Linked DNA regions of Arabidopsis thaliana. The protein of the gene in region 2 purifies or fractionates together with the protein of the main gene of each other region. This does not show direct contact. Each region holds a gene or a part of one and is shown on either strand. Other genes may lie near its edges.

What was found.
Region 1: the proteins of ALP (region 2) and VSR3 purify together in Arabidopsis thaliana (affinity purification with western blotting, with the first as the bait; one study listed by BioGRID). This does not show direct contact.

Annotation. Positions count from the first base shown.
Region 1 is NC_003071.7:6,305,044-6,313,775, reverse strand, and holds VSR3 (vacuolar sorting receptor 3), read right to left. Parts: upstream 5,094-8,732; 5' UTR 4,882-5,093; coding exon 4,578-4,881; intron 4,484-4,577; coding exon 3,791-4,483; intron 3,714-3,790; coding exon 3,625-3,713; intron 3,525-3,624; coding exon 3,455-3,524; intron 3,382-3,454; coding exon 3,298-3,381; intron 2,954-3,297; coding exon 2,877-2,953; intron 2,813-2,876; coding exon 2,731-2,812; intron 2,361-2,730; coding exon 2,278-2,360; intron 2,198-2,277; coding exon 2,131-2,197; intron 2,043-2,130; coding exon 1,914-2,042; intron 1,810-1,913; coding exon 1,700-1,809; intron 1,572-1,699; coding exon 1,473-1,571; 3' UTR 1,428-1,472; exon of another isoform or gene 1,335-1,427; 3' UTR 1,050-1,334; downstream 1-1,049. UniProt on the Arabidopsis thaliana protein: Vacuolar-sorting receptor (VSR) involved in clathrin-coated vesicles sorting from Golgi apparatus to vacuoles.
Region 2 is NC_003076.8:24,276,843-24,284,698, forward strand, and holds ALP (aleurain-like protease), read left to right. Parts: upstream 1-3,054; 5' UTR 3,055-3,201; coding exon 3,202-3,395; intron 3,396-3,477; coding exon 3,478-3,599; intron 3,600-4,019; coding exon 4,020-4,135; intron 4,136-4,273; coding exon 4,274-4,347; intron 4,348-4,457; coding exon 4,458-4,722; intron 4,723-4,805; coding exon 4,806-4,937; intron 4,938-5,041; coding exon 5,042-5,181; intron 5,182-5,272; coding exon 5,273-5,315; 3' UTR 5,316-5,526; downstream 5,527-7,856. Other genes in the region: AT5G60350 (uncharacterized protein), read left to right, coding at 1,030-1,681, 1,793-2,019; AT5G60370 (exonuclease V-like protein), read left to right, coding at 6,016-6,393, 6,483-6,587, 6,702-6,823, 6,959-7,114, 7,217-7,370, 7,501-7,577, 7,669-7,856. UniProt on the Arabidopsis thaliana protein: May play a role in proteolysis leading to mobilization of nitrogen during senescence and starvation.

The sequences.
Region 1 (8,732 bases), on a different chromosome or scaffold from region 2:
GATTGGTTTTTCGGTAACAAACTCCAAACTCACATTCCTAAAAACATAAAAGTGTAAGTATTCGATAGTCTATATGCAGTTGTGGAACTAATCACGCCATAAATTGCATTATACAAGTAGTGATTGCCTAATAAATTGATATTTTTTTGGCTCGAGTTTAATCATTTTAGTACAAAAAAAAATATGGGTTCAAAAGATGTAATTCCAACCGTTTATAGAAAAAGAAAACAGAAAAAAATATTTGTGGGAATTTATTAGGCCCACCAATGTCGGAGAGCTGTGGTAGAGTTTTGGTGTCTGGTCTAGATTAGAAAAATGGTTCAATAGTCAATTTGAGTTGTTTTTGACCTGACTCGTCCGAGTGGTAGAGTTTTGGTCTTGGCACCATTTTCATCAGTCCGAGTCAAATCATCTTTCTATTAAGCTAAATGTACTTAACCTGGATTTGCATCCAGATTCCTAAAATTAGAAGAAAATGAAAGTGGAACATAATCAGGAGATGCACTAACTAAATTCAAGAATCAAGAGCTAATAGATTGTACAATAATAATGTTCTCCGGAAAGATAAGCTTTCCAAGCTATCCATTAACACAAGCTTTAGAGATTCAAACTTAAATGTAGTTTAAATTTTAGTATTAATATTGATTTTTTAAAGGCGACAAAAACATAGAAATTATAGTTTTATGCTTATAAATAAATAGTGACTAAGATTACAACATTAAAGTACTTTAAAAAACATAGCCTATTAATAAAAAAACTGTGATATAAGCGAAATGCGCGATCTATGAAACTAGAATTTATAAATATTAAAACAAAAATCTTTGTAAAAAATTTAATCAATATATATTTAGTTACATAGTATTGCATAATTTATTATATTAATACCAAATTATTCAATAAATATTAACTAAATATATATGCAATATATTTATCCAATATATTGTTTTTTGAAATTTGTTTTTGCATAATTTATTATATTAATTTAAACTTGTAAAGTTAGGAATATAAAACGTATAAGTACATTTTCAAAAGTCAAAAATATAATTCTTACTTTAATAACTAAAAAGAAGATGACTTACACAAAGAATCGGACCTTCTTTTGTTTAGGGATAAATGAAATGAGAATCACACTTTTCCAAGATAAAAGGAAACAATTAGTCGACAAAAAAAAAAAAAGGAAACAATTAACAACATGAACTCTAAAACAAGTAACTCTCTCTTGTCTTGTTAGCCGAAGCTACTTACATCAGAGTTTTCCTATTACAGAAGTCCCATGGACACAAGTGAGAAAAAAAAGCACAAAGTCACTCGAACCTCTTTTGTATGCAAATACACTGTAATGGTAAAAAAAAAAAAAAGAGTTACAAAGATACAGAGGCGAGAAAACATCGTCGTTAAGGGCCACATCAGTTAAAAGAACGTGTCACCTTGGGTCCTTCCCGGGGAATAAATAGATGGACTGTTTTGCTTTCTCAGGCGCGTTCATCATTCACGTGGTTCGGGATCTCGGGTTGGCTGTCCAATGGCATGTACTGTGCCATTATGGCTCTGATCTCTGAGTCCATGTATTGCTGTAAAACCAGGGGCATAGGAATGTTAAAACAATTTTCCCCAAGTAACGGATATGGCAAATACAAGATTAATCTTCGCTATTAACACAACAGAAAACAAAAGAGCAGAAGAGATTAAAAAAGCTTACCCTTAGCCTATATTTGTAAACGAGGTATGCACCAGCAGCTGCAAGTCCCAATGATAACATTATAAGCCAAACGGCCGCCCATGCTGATCTCACTTGTGCACCCGTCTTGCCTAGATTTCGACAAATAGAACCAATAACAATTGGAAAACAGGTGGGAGAAACACTATTTGAATAATCAAACTTTAGACTTCCATATTCAAAAAAAAATACTCACTGATGCAAGTGTCATGATCTCTGATGTAGAGAAGGTCCCCGCTACAAGAGCACTCATAGCTTCCCCATGTGTTCTTGCAGCTACACTCTGGGCACTGGCATGCTTTCTTCTCTTTGCACTCATTAATGTCTGGTGCAGGAAGCACGAAAATCCTTATAAGATGATTAGAACTAGAACAAAGTAGTACTGTAATTCAAGTTTTTTCAGAGGGTCTAACCTTCACACTTCTTAGTACCATCTCCTTTAAATCCTGGAGGACACTCGCACTTAACACTGTCCTTGTCCTGAAGGCATTACAAGTTGAGACAGAAGTATCTTACTAAACTGTGAGATTATACACTTAAGCGCAGAAGACACCACTAACCACACAAGCAGAGAACGCATGTCCATCTCGCTCTTCATGCCAACAACCTCCATTGTTGATTGTGCATCTCCCTGGCCCGCTTGCTGCAATGCAAACACCAGTTCAGTATGGAATTTTGACATCAAACGAAAGCACAGCAAAGAGACAACATAAAATTATCAATCTCTAATGGGAAATGATGGCATATAAGTGTTCAAAGTTTTAGTGAGCATGAAATAACAATTATATCTTGAATTTCACCAGGAAGATGTGCGCTCTCAAAAATCTAAGAGGGTAAACCGAAAATTTTCTTTACAATGTACTGACAATGGGTTATATGAGAGCTGCTAGAAGAAGATCAGAATGTCGGTCTATAAGTATCTAAACTATTATCTTTCCATACTTAGATTGCTACTGAATAATACAAGTCTGATAAATTTATAAGAGCTAATCAAAGATGACATGAACACTTACGTTCACAGTGACTGTAACCATCCCCTTTGAATTGCACACCATCAACTGTAGGACACTCGCATACTCTTCCACGAAAAGTATCCTGCGGATTAAGCAGATTTAATAAAGATAGCACAGAATTTATTCCAAGCAATTTCACATTATACCTTGCAAGCAGTTATGTTGGCTGATTTATCTTGCCAACAACCACCATTGTTATCTAAGCACTCGTTTGACTCCACATCTGTAAATTGTAAAAGAAGTTTACAATACATTCCAAACATTTATTTGATAAGCTAGGATAAGGTGGTTCAGGTATGAGCACAGGCAGCTGTGGGCATCAATCGTTAATACCCCAAATATATCCAAATTTAGATTTATGATTCTTGCTCGGGTATGGGTCAGCTATTTCAGGTTTTGGTGAGGACCCAAATTTTGGATACTCAAACCCAAATTTTGGATACTTAACAACACAAGTTCACCCGATACACCAAAACGTATTCCAATGTGTATACAGGTAAAGCTTATTCAGACGAGTTTGAGTGAATTCCGAAATGCCCACAATTAGGCAAGACCAACAATATATACCTGTGCTGAGGCATATCGCTGGTTCAGTGGTCTCCTCAAAACCAGAGCATAAAGCCTTGAGTACTGCACTCTTCTCCAACTTTCCTGCAAGGAAACATTTATTTAACAAAGGTAAACTACAAGTATTGAAGTCTTAAGTTAACTATGTAAGACAAACCTCGGTACTGTCTGTTGTTGACAACCAAGGTAGGCAATATGGTAACATCACCCCTTGAACCCTTGCCAACCTACATAATATAATATGTCAATCACAAACGAACGGATTATTCAAAGATTATAACTATGAAACGCCGGAGGAAAATACAGATGAAAATGACTAATATTTACTTGAGCATCTTGTTCTTCCTTAAGAACTGGATTGTCCAAGTCAGCATCAGGGTCTCCCATACACTTGTCAAGTTTTTTACTATCAATTCCTGTAAAGACATAGTAACTATGCATCATTCTCCCCAAAATTGTCTTTCTTTAATTTGCATATAACAGACACACTCACCAAGAGATTTGATAACGGAATCAGCACACTCCTTATTGTATTTCTTCTCCTTCATGGGACATCTGATCTGGAAATCAGTAACATAATCCCACCAGACCCAAGGTTTGCCGGTTTCATTCGCCACCTTGTAAACACAAAGCTGTCTCAAGTTTTCCACGACCACATCTTTTCCATCGTATCCCGAGCTAAAGTCCTGCTCTGGATCAGGAGCACAGTACCTTCCTTTATTGATACACTGAGACTTACACTGTCGACTCAACGTGAAAGCATGAGGACAATACCAAGTAATATAATGAGGTCTAAACTGCGTAAACCCGCCTTTCTCAAGAATCTGCGCCGCTCCCTTAAAATCTTTCACAAACTCCATCAACATATCACACTTAACCCCACATTCATCATTACTATTAGTCCACAACTCATACTCAACACGGTCATCAGGATGCGGAACAGCCTCTCTCCAGTCAAGATTCAAGTTAACCATATCTCCTCCACTAATAGCTTTCTTCAGCTTTTCACCAAAACCTTTAGTAACAAGAGCAGAAGGTATAGTAATATTCTCAATATACTTTGCAGAAGAAACATCTTCTTCAGGTGTATCCATTGTAATCAAAGGTTCATCAACATTATCAGCTACAAGAACAGCAGAAGCACCTGCTTTCTGTGCGTTCCATACCTTCAAAGCGAAGAAACAATCTACACAACAACAACAACAACAACAACAACACTTATAAACCCTAAGGAATCGAATCGAATCGAATCAAATCGATTGAGTAAGAGATTGAAGTACCTCCACGATCAACTAAGAGGAAAGTAGGTAAAGCACCAGGCTGAGACTTGAACGAAATCGAGAAATCGCTAAATTCCTTACACGATTTCTGATTCTCTTTCGGATAAACCACCGTACCAGCCATACTTCCACCGTATTGAGGAATCCCGAAGTTACCAATTGCACTATCATGAGTTCCTTTTATACTCTCCGGCGACGTCACGGACAAACTGTTCTTCTCCACCACGAATCGAGCGTCGTTTAAAGGGGAAACCAGAAGAGTGAGGAGAAGCAGCCATGGAAGGTAACACAGAAGCTGCTTCATCTTCAAGACTCCGCCACAACAAAGAACAAATTCGAAGGACAAGGAAAATGATCAAAGATGATATGATAGAATTTGAAATATATTCTCGGAAGGTAAAAGACTTGAAGAGTGTTTTCCAGAGAAAATAAATCTGGTTTTTCTTGTTGAGCGGTTTGGGTGTGACTGGGAAGACTATAGATGACCCATTCAAGTCAAACAAAATATTTTATATAACGCTATCAAGCCACGTGTTGCACGGGTTAAATTTAAAACCAGTAAAAAAATTTTTTAACAATTAGTTGATATCAGAAATAAATACATGAGGAATTTTAATATTTTGGTTACAGATTGAAAAAGAGCAAAGAGAAGATATATTTATCAATCTATCGATTTACTTTGTTATTTTTAAGTTTTTGTTCTAAAAATATATTCTTAGTTTTTTAAATACGGAAATATATTTAATTCTAGAGTATGTAATACTTTAGAATTATCCACGAAATTTGTTTTAATACTGTTCTGAAATAATGTTTTTTAAAAAAGGTGTAAATTGATGTAATACACATTCATGGAATGCATGTGAGGATCGAAATGAAGATCTTATTGTGATGATATATACTTTTCTTTTTGCCTCTTTCCATGTGACAAAACAATTAATTTAATTATTAATAATAAAATATGTTATTGAAAATTTTAGCATTAGTTAATTTTTCTGTGAATTTATAATTAGAATGTTGTCAAAGGAGATTAAAGATTAGAATATAGATATCTAATTTTAAAAAAAAGTAAAAAAAAATATAGTTTCAAAACATGTTGTTTTGAAACCTACCCAATGAAAATTATAACCAATTGAGAAAATAAGTTTTGGCGAAAGTTTTGGATTTTAGTAACAATTGAGCTTGAATGGAGTATTTTTGTTAAAAGACTTTGAATAGAGTTGTTATCCTAAAAATTTTAAAATTGTTAATGCATAAAAAAAGAAGACAATTATCCCAAAAGCAAGTTCATAATCAACTTTGCATATCCTAAACATAGATACATAAACATGCAATCTCAGAGCAACACCAATGGTAAGAGACCATTAGGGGCTCTTCATATTTTTTTAATCATAATTTTGAAATTTAAAAGTTTAAGAGATTTTTTTGGTTCTTTAATTTTTTGTTTGTCCAATGGTAGGTCTTTAAGCGGGTTTCTTAAAAAATAAAATATTATTATTAAATTAAAAATTACAAATATTTTATTTCATAAAATTTAATTATTAATGTAAATACTTAAATATTAAACATACATGATATAAATATTGAAAACCAAAATAACGATTAGTGGTTAGCTTGATTCCCGCCAAATTTGTGCCATAAATGCTCAATTAAATTATTTTTCAATTGTTGATGCATAGTCCGAGCACGAACCAGGCTCCAGACGCCATAATATTACCGAGATTTGAAGCCATATCTGTAAAATAGTTGAAATCCACTTGTGAAGAAGCGGTTGATTCCGGTTGTGTGAATTCGGATGCATCAAAATAAGTATACTCATCTCGTTCATCCTCAACTATCATATTGTAAAGTATTATACATGCTCGCATGATCATTCCTACCTTTTCTTTATCTCAAATAAGAGTTGGATTTGTGACAATGGCAAACCGAGCTTGCAAAACTCCAAAAGCACGCTCTACATCTTTACGACAAACTTCTTGATTTGTAGCAAATAAAGAATCTTTGTCACCTTGAGGAAGTGAAATAGATTGGATAATGTAGGTCATTTAGGATAAATACCATATGTGAGCTAGTAAGCCAAATGATTTAGTCGTTTCCGTTGATGACGTATTTCACTTTTGGAGCTCGGCCTTATATTATATCATCAAAAACTAGTGAGAGATTAAGTATATTGATATCATTTAAGGTACCTAGAGGTCCAAAACATATGTGCCATATCCAAAGATTTTGGGAAGCAACAGCCTGTAGTTCGATTGTTGGTTTTCCAGATCCACGTGTATATTGTTCTTTCCAAGCGGTCGGGCAATTCTTTCACTCCCAATGCATACAATCGATGCTTCCTGTCATCCCGAGAAATCCACGGAGCTCTCCAATACGCAGTAGTCGTTTAAGATCTTGTCGCGTAGGTCTTCTTAGATACTCTTTCCCGAACAAATATATGATTGCTTCAACCGAATGTATCATACAAGACATCAAAGTGTTTTCACCAATCCGGAGGTATTTGTCAACCGCATCTGTCGCACAATACAAATTGTTGCTTGTGGTGTCTTCTTGTACAAGTGATGTCGGCACCACTCAAATCTTCAGGATCCTGCAACTCAAAACTCATTTGATAAGACCAACCACAAGTTAGAGAACTTAAAGCATAGAACACAACTGAAACACTTAAATTATATAACACACAAACTCAAAACTCATTTCATTCATGATCAAAACTAAAACACTTAAAGTATATAATACAACCTATCATAAAGACCAAACTTATTAGCCGAAACACAAAGCAATAACTAAAGTCCAAACTATTAGCCGGAAAAGAAAGTAATAACTAAAGTCCAAACTCATTTGATAAAGTCCAAACTCATTATCCGAAACACAAAGTAATAACTAAAGTCCAAACTGATTTCATAAAGAGCAAACTCATAAGCAGAAACACAAAGTAATAACTAAAGTACAAACTCATTTCTTAAAGACCAAACTCATTAGTCGTAATAACTAAAGTCCAAACTCATTTCATAAAACCAAACTCATTTCATTCAAGAACACAACTGAAATAATTAAATCCACGTATTGCAATAGACGAGTGTTTATGTTTCAATTCATACACAAACCAAATCAAATTCATATCAATCTAAAAGGCAAAAATCAAAAGTAATAACGACTGATTATGTGAACACAAAACCCTAATTTCGTTTACATATAAAAGCCCTAATTATCAATCATAAAACCACAATTCACGAAACCCTAATTTCAACAATTTCTATTAAACCCTAAATAATGAAGATCTAAACACTCAAATCAAATGAATCATACCTTCAGAAGAGATTGGAGATGAGTATCAATAAATTCTCCGATTTCGAACCTTAAACTCTCCGATTTGGATCAATGACGAATCGACACACTATCGCCGTCGATTGAGACGGATCGACACACTATCGCCGTTGATCGAGACGGATCGCCACACAATTGCCGTCTTGTTCTCTTTGAGCTAATGATCGAGACAGATCGATATCGGAGAGATACAATCGCCGTAAAAAGTCGCCGCTGCAGAGAGAAACCAAACACGTGAATGCCCAAAAAAAACTAAACACTTGTAAAAGATTACGTTTATCGAAAAACTTCATGGACCAATAATATTTAGCCACGTATGGGTCCATGAAGTATCCCTTCGATAGGGAACGGCCCAGATCTATTTTTGCATTTTCTATTTAATTTTGGGTTTTCTGGAAGAACCTACTATATTAAGAACTCTATAAGACCATCCTTATTGCAAGTCTCTTACTATAAATCTTAGGCATAATATAATCAAAAGAGTATGTGAATAGTTAAGAAGAGTTTCTTAGCTAAAAGATAAAAGAAAGTTTAAGAGCATCATTATGGTTGTCTCTTTGATTAGTTCTTAGGATAAGAACATCTCATTTTAACTCTTATATAAGAGACAAATGACAAAATGTCTCTTATATAAGAGTCAAAATGAGATGTTCTTAGTAATTAATGATCAAAAAAAATTCTAAGAACTAACCTAAGAAACTACCATTAATGAAGCTCTAAGAGCTTCAAACCATTACAAAAGTTCTTAGTTACAATTTTTTCAATAAAACAATTCATTAAGATTCAAAATTAAGAGCCTATCATTAAGGTTACTCTAAGGGACTTCCATTG
Region 2 (7,856 bases):
AAAACGCTTAGACTACATCATTAATTTTTGAATATCATTTGTGATTTGCCATAGGGAGTATATAACTAGGTTTGGCTTTTTGGTGTTGTTGTCGCAGCTAAATTAAAAGGCTCATTATGTATGTATGTACAACATCTTAGTCATCTTGGAACAACAATTAAAAAGGCATTTCATCAAAAAAATTCTACAAACGTTACAACACTAGGAATGATGACGCGTACTCGCAACTCTGTCTTCTATCTAAAAGTCCACACGTACACAAGTATGAGTTTAAAGGCGTTGGGGAAAATATTTTTTTGAAAGGGGTTAAAGTTATCAACGTAGACGAGTCTTCGAACAAATTAATGAATATTTATTAGTTTTTAGTTTTGGATTTCATGATTTCATTCAGAACATGTACATAAGTACATTCTCTGTCTATGTCAATCTTCTTTATCAAATAAATAAATAAATAAAAAACTCCCTGTCAATCTTCATAATTGATAAATATTACATAGTTCACGAAAAATATATAGTTCAACATTACTTAGAAGTTAGAAGATTAAATTTTCTTCATATAATAATGATCGGAAAGTTGTTCCAATATTAATAGAATATAATATCGTTTCCAGAACACATATTTTTGTTCTGATAATAAGTAATAAAGTTGATGTTTCCTGGAAATCAGAAGGAAGGAAGGTATATTACGAAAGAGATTCCGAGATCTATACAGAACTGTTTTTTAAACAAACTGCCATAGTTAATCACATGGTGGCCACATAAAGAAGACCATAGAAATGATACAAAGCAGTGCTGAAGTCGTTGCCGTTTACGCGGTTTTATGGCATATGTCATTATGATCTCCCTCTCCCTCTATATCAACTGGATACATAAACACACATACTAATGAACTTCTATAAATATAACATACATAGAATGAAGCTGAAGCATAAACAGCCCAACCAAGTCATATCTTATCTCTGTTCTTTGACTTTCCCTTTTTACAGATTCTTTGCCAATAGAACCTAAGAAAAAGACATAATATCGTTGATGGAGAAAATTACAAAGGAAGAAAGGAGAAACAGATGCCTTCCAAGTTTTGGAAGCATATATCGAAGTAAGAGGACGGGTAAGAAAGAGGCAGCAGCAGCAAAAACCAAGGTAGAGGCGGATCTGATTATTGTAAAAAATGAAGATAAATCTAACGAGGAACAGAAGAAGATTGAAAAATGTTGGATGATGAGTGAGGATGGGGAAGGCGGCAAGTCAACTGTAGAGTATGATGGTTCAAGCATTTTAAACACAAGTGGGGTCTTGCGTGGGGATGAAGACATCAGTGAGGAGGAACCTGAGGAAGTAGCAGAGATATTGATAGATAAAGAGGAAGATAGTGAATTTCTAATAACGATGGTTTTGGACCTTTTGGTGGAAGACAACAAGTCGCTTCAACACAAGTCAAACGCTGCGAACAAAAACAGTAGCTTGCTTGATGAAGAGGTAATCACGGGGGAAGGCAGCAAGGAATGTGATGGAGTTCTGTCCATTGATGAAAGCTTAAAGGTGGTGGAAACCGAGAAGGTTGATAAAGCAGACGAGAAATCAACGGTTGAACAACGCTTAGAGAACGTGGATGCCAATCGTACACAGGCCGAGCAACCTACAACCCAAGAGCAGGCTATAACAATTCAAAAACAAAATCGAGGTACACATATTCTCAAGTGCTAATTCTGCACTTGGAAGTATCTCATGCACTAGTTTGTTTGTACTTTGTAGCAAATAGATTGATTCTTATATGTTCCATTTTGTGTTGTAGCAGTTACTCGGCCAAGGCAGCCAACTTATGTACCCTCCCCATCAGCTCGGGGTCAGGGATATCACGTGTCCGCAGCACCAATTAATATGGGAATCTGTGCTCCACCGAGTCATCCTATGAGGAATGACTTTAACAAGGTGAAGACGTTTGATCTGAAAGGAGTAATAAAGAGTAGCGGTAAGGGATTGAAATCAATTGCTTGGCCCCGACGTTTTTCAGTCAAATGAACAAACTCCTAATTTAACTCAAATTACTATCCTCTTAACTATCTGTATAATTTTATCTCTTCAAAATCACTCAAACAACTTCCTACCATTCTCCCATCTTTTTAATTTGTATGCCTTATACTTAATTTTAATTGGTTCAATCGTCATACTTCATGAATAAGATGTTTCCTTCAAATATATAAACGATGCAGTGTGTAATTTGCAGTCGGTGTCGGATTTCGCACACATTCGACTCAACGAAATTAATGTTTTGAAAATTTAAATTGGACATCGAAAATTTATATTCATTGGATATATGTGTGTCCCAAATAAAAGTAAACAAGAATGTAGAACACATCAAAATAATTAATATCACTTATCCTGCAACAAAATGAGAAAACAACAAAATTAGATCATAAAATATATTATTCAAAATTATACTTAGTAAATTTAATGGTAAAAGATCAAATATGACTTGCTTTTCAAAATGTTAAAACAGTCTCGAATACGTAAAATAATTTGATCACAAAATAAAGTATATAGATAACAAGATTTTCTAATCTATATCAAATTGGAAAATATTTTTTCATAACAGTGAAAAGATTTTTTTTTAAAAGTTTGTACATTGATTTTTGATTCAAAAACCTTAGTTAATTAAAAGATCTCTTACCAATAAAAGTTTCTGAATGGGATTTGGTATTGAACTGTGTCCTTAAATCCGGGTTTTAGTTCAACCACGAGTTTAACTACATAAACGATTTCCGGTCAGCCTGGTCCTGACGGGCCACCAATTTTCAAAACATTGACGAAAGCAAGCCCAATAACATCAAATATAATTAACAAATTTTAGTTTGAATACGGTTACTGTTTTGGAAATTGATACATTCCGATCTTGGACTAATCTATAATCCATGGGCTGGCTATTTTGCAGTTTCCCGTAAATAAAATTATGAAAACATGATTGATTTCTCGTTGGTAGACCATGACATCACAGGACACGTCAACATTCCAAGTATAAAGGACAAAACTGTCCATTTAGATTCCACCACGTGTCCCGATAACGTTTCCGTCTGTATCTCTCTCTTCCGTCTTCTACTCTTCTTCTTCTTCTTCTTCTTCCACTCACAATCTATCGAGCTAAAACACTGAAGCAGACATTAGCGTTGAGAAAAAAAAAAAAGTAAGAACGAGAGAGAGAAAGCCATGTCTGCGAAAACAATCCTATCATCAGTAGTTTTGGTGGTTCTCGTCGCCGCATCAGCAGCGGCTAATATCGGATTCGATGAGTCAAACCCGATCCGAATGGTCTCCGATGGTCTCCGGGAGGTAGAAGAATCTGTTTCCCAGATCTTAGGTCAATCTCGTCACGTTCTCTCTTTCGCTCGCTTCACTCACCGGTAAGTCTCGTCCTTTCACCACCCGTGCTTTCTCCGTTGACTTTTGATCTTAGCTTTTGATCATCGTTTGTTGGTGATGAAGATATGGTAAAAAGTATCAGAACGTGGAGGAGATGAAGCTTCGATTCTCGATTTTCAAGGAGAATCTTGATTTGATCAGATCCACCAACAAGAAAGGCTTATCTTACAAACTCGGTGTTAATCGTAAGTTTTTTTTTTTATCTTTCTTCTCCTGAGTTTGTACTTAAGGAAGTAAACGTATGTATAAAAGACACTGTGGGAAAACGTGGAAACTAACTTTTGTTCTGTCTTGGAATCTTCCAAGTTAATATTTTTAAATTTTGATTTTTTTCTTTCGTTCACGTGATTCAAGATTGTTATTGGGACTCTAGACTTTACAGAGTTTATGAGTCTATGAACTCTGTGTGAGAGACTAGTTTGTGTCAAAAACAGTGTTCTGCTTCTTTAAGATTTAGCTGTCCTGAGTTGAAGATTGGTTCTCGTTCCTACTTCCTTGTAGAGTTGTAGGGATCTAATCTTTATTTGTCCTAGAACTGACACTGCAATGGTTTGATGAATAATGATTTACCTAAATATTGCTAATTGTGTCTTGAATCTATACAGAATTTGCTGATTTGACATGGCAAGAGTTTCAAAGGACCAAGCTTGGTGCTGCTCAGAACTGCTCTGCCACTTTAAAGGGCAGCCACAAGGTCACAGAAGCAGCTCTTCCTGAAACAGTAAGTCCAGGACTCAATCTTGCTGCACTGAACTATGTCAACCACCATCCCGTTCTGTTTTTCAGCTCTAAGAGAACGTGTTTAGCTGCAGACCTTTTTAAAAATTTGGTTCTGAGTTCTCAAATTGTGTAACTGCAGAAAGACTGGAGAGAAGATGGTATCGTTAGTCCGGTCAAAGATCAGGGAGGTTGTGGATCTTGCTGGACATTCAGGTAAAAGTAAAACCAATGATTAAGATACTCTCTTTAATTTTTGGTGGGATCTTTTGATGTCAAATTGAAGGTCGAGATTGTATGTCATATGATTGTTTTTTGTACTGCAGCACAACTGGAGCTCTTGAGGCAGCTTACCATCAGGCATTTGGAAAAGGAATTTCTCTCTCTGAGCAACAGCTTGTGGATTGTGCTGGAGCTTTCAATAACTATGGTTGCAATGGTGGCCTTCCTTCTCAAGCCTTTGAATACATCAAATCCAACGGTGGCCTCGACACAGAGAAAGCTTATCCTTATACCGGTAAAGATGAAACCTGCAAATTTTCAGCTGAAAACGTTGGTGTACAAGTCCTCAACTCAGTCAACATTACTCTGGTAAGCATCTTTTATGGATTTTGAATTTCACTTGCATGAGAATATACATTCTGTAATGATGATTGAAACAACAACAACAACAGGGTGCTGAAGATGAACTGAAGCATGCGGTTGGATTGGTACGGCCAGTAAGCATAGCATTTGAGGTTATACACTCGTTCCGGCTTTACAAGAGTGGAGTTTACACTGATAGTCACTGTGGAAGTACTCCAATGGTGAGACTTTCTTCTTTAAACTGTTAAAAAGACTTTCATTGGTTCACATAAAATCTTCTTAGGAACTTAGCTTAGTGTTCGGTTTCCTTAATGTGGCAATATAGGATGTGAACCACGCGGTTTTGGCCGTTGGTTATGGAGTTGAAGACGGTGTACCATATTGGCTTATTAAGAACTCATGGGGAGCGGATTGGGGCGACAAAGGTTACTTCAAGATGGAGATGGGGAAGAACATGTGTGGTAAGTTCTTTAATAATTATGAAACCATCACACCATTCTCAAATTCTCACAGTTGGTCTTTCTCTATCTATTGTTGATTCGTTCTTGAATTGCAGGTATTGCTACATGTGCATCATACCCCGTTGTGGCTTGAGATGATCAGCGAATGTGGTTGGTCAATTATCAAATTACGAAATGTTCACGTATTTATTGGATTAAGACATTACGTAAAAGTTGGGACTTGGGAATGCATATGGTTTATGCTTGTTGTAACATAAAAAGGTCTGTTAATATGTACAAAATAAAGCCAAAACTATAGACGACAAATTTATAATATTTTCATGTTAAATTTATGAACATAAATTGATTTAGATCAAAGTAGTTTCGTTCTTGATCCTAAGTCAATTTGTCTAACATATAGCTTTTACTTTGAATCTTGATCCTTGAGTCATTTTGTATAACATACAGCTTACAAGTTATGACTTTATTTTGTTTTGGTAATTGGTATTCTAAACGAAAATGAAATCTAATAACGTGATTAATAGTGGTCACATGGATATCTCATAAATCTCTATCCAATTGTGTGATTAAGAACATGCAAAACTGCAAATAAAGTATAAAAAATCATTTACACAAAACTTCATCTAGTTTTTGGACATCAAATTCACAAAAAGCAGCATATAACACTACAATAATTGATTTCACTTTTATTTTATTTGTTTGTTTACCTTTCTAAGTTCAAATATAAATTCTATGATTAGTTTATTATAATTACAATTTTTATTTTTTTTACTCTGATTTGAATTTTTTACATGGACACGAAAGAAGAAGAAGACCACATGTTGGTTCCGAATAAAACATGGCCGAGTCACCCTCCGAGTCAACCTCCGACTCGCTTAGCACCACCACATCCACTAAGCCCGCTCAATCCGGGACTGTTTCTATTTCAAGCCCTCAAAGTCACCATGTCGTCTTCCCCGAGATCCCAATCGAGATCGTCAGTGAAGAAGAAATGGCTATTCTCGATGCAGCTCTTGCAGCCTCCCGCTCCATCCTCCCTTCCGTGATCCGTTCTGTTTCTCCGTCACGGATAACCGCCGGCGGAAGTCCCAAAACAATCCGCTCAATTACTCTCTTCTCCAAGAGGAAATTATCGGCTTGTTCAGATATCGAAGAGTCTTATCTACATCGATTTAGGAGAAATCAAGCTTTAGGTGTCACAGATCTCACCGGAACTGTACGTTTTTTTTATCACAGATTATAGGAAAGAAGAGATCATATAAGCACATTTGACAATGATAGTGATCTCTCTCTATTTGGTTATAGGAATGGTGTGAGAAACAAATGGAGAATGTTCTTTGTTTTGGCAGGAGAAAAGTCAATAAAGCTATGAAAGTTGGTCAGGCTCGTCATTTGCAGCTTGAAGAAGAGGTATTATTCACTATGATGGATCTTAGGGGCTTATTGTTACTATTAAGAGTACTTGATCGTTTTGTGAACAATTTGATGAAATCTACTTGTTGTTGTGTTTATATAATTGGGTAGGTAGTTAAAAAAGTGAGAGTAAAAGTTGAATCAAATGAAGATAAGTGGGCATTGAAGCTGTTGAATTCCATTGCTGGTGTTAATCAGTTCTTGTTTGAAGGACGAACTCGTGAATTGCTACTGTGAGTTCCTTCTACCCCTCTAGTTTCGATCTTCTTTTGTAACATTCTCGTGGCTTTTACCTTTTCCTAGCAAGATAATGTTTTGTAGCATACATCAAATGAGACTTTAAATATGTTGCATTTTACCTTGTAAAGCTTAGGATTTGTTGGAGGTCAATGGATTGTGGGAATTATTGACGAGCTTAGAAAGGCGTATGCAGAAGAGTCTTCTGATAGCGGACCAATATTGATAGATACAAAGACTCGACTCCGTGATACACTTCCAGCTGAGCCACAGAGGAGGAATGGAAGGTAAGTGTTTGATAGAGTTAAGGAAAACGTTGGTCATTTTTGGTTTTGGTTTAATACGTGGGAGTTTTGTGTTAATGTCCTTGAATTAACTATATTTGACAGGCTTCAGCTAATGCTTTACAAGCTTCTATGGGACACTATTGTGAAAGAAGGGTTTCCAACGGGACCTTTTTTCGACTACTTTTCTTTGAATCGCAATTATGTCTTATCCCAAGATGTCAGAGATCACATTGCTAATGCAGGTATCAAAGCTCAGGTATACTTATCTTTGACTCTGTACAATATATCTTTCACTAAACCAAAGTTTATGTGTTTATGAAGAGAGAATTACTCACTTCGAAATGGGGTTGTATTGATATTTTCTTACTAGTTTTAACTTGGTGCAGACACTTGAAGAGATAGTTAGGTACTATGAAAACACTTTTCAGATGCTTCCGATAGCAAATAATCAACTATTACTAAAGTAAGTAGAGATGGCTTGTTCTTGATGTTATAGAATACATTAATATATCTCTGATCATCTGATTGTAGTTGAGTGGGAAATTTTGCCTCAGGTACGAGTTTCAGAAGGACCAATCTATAATAGCTGAAATTAGATTCAACCATGATCATGAATGGGTGATGAGCAAATATAGAGAAGTCATTGAGTTCTGGAGAAATGAACGAGAAGCTGGGTACACTCCTGAAGAAGAACGTTGGAAATGTCGGTATTGCCAATTTGCTAAGTCTTGCCCTGGAAACC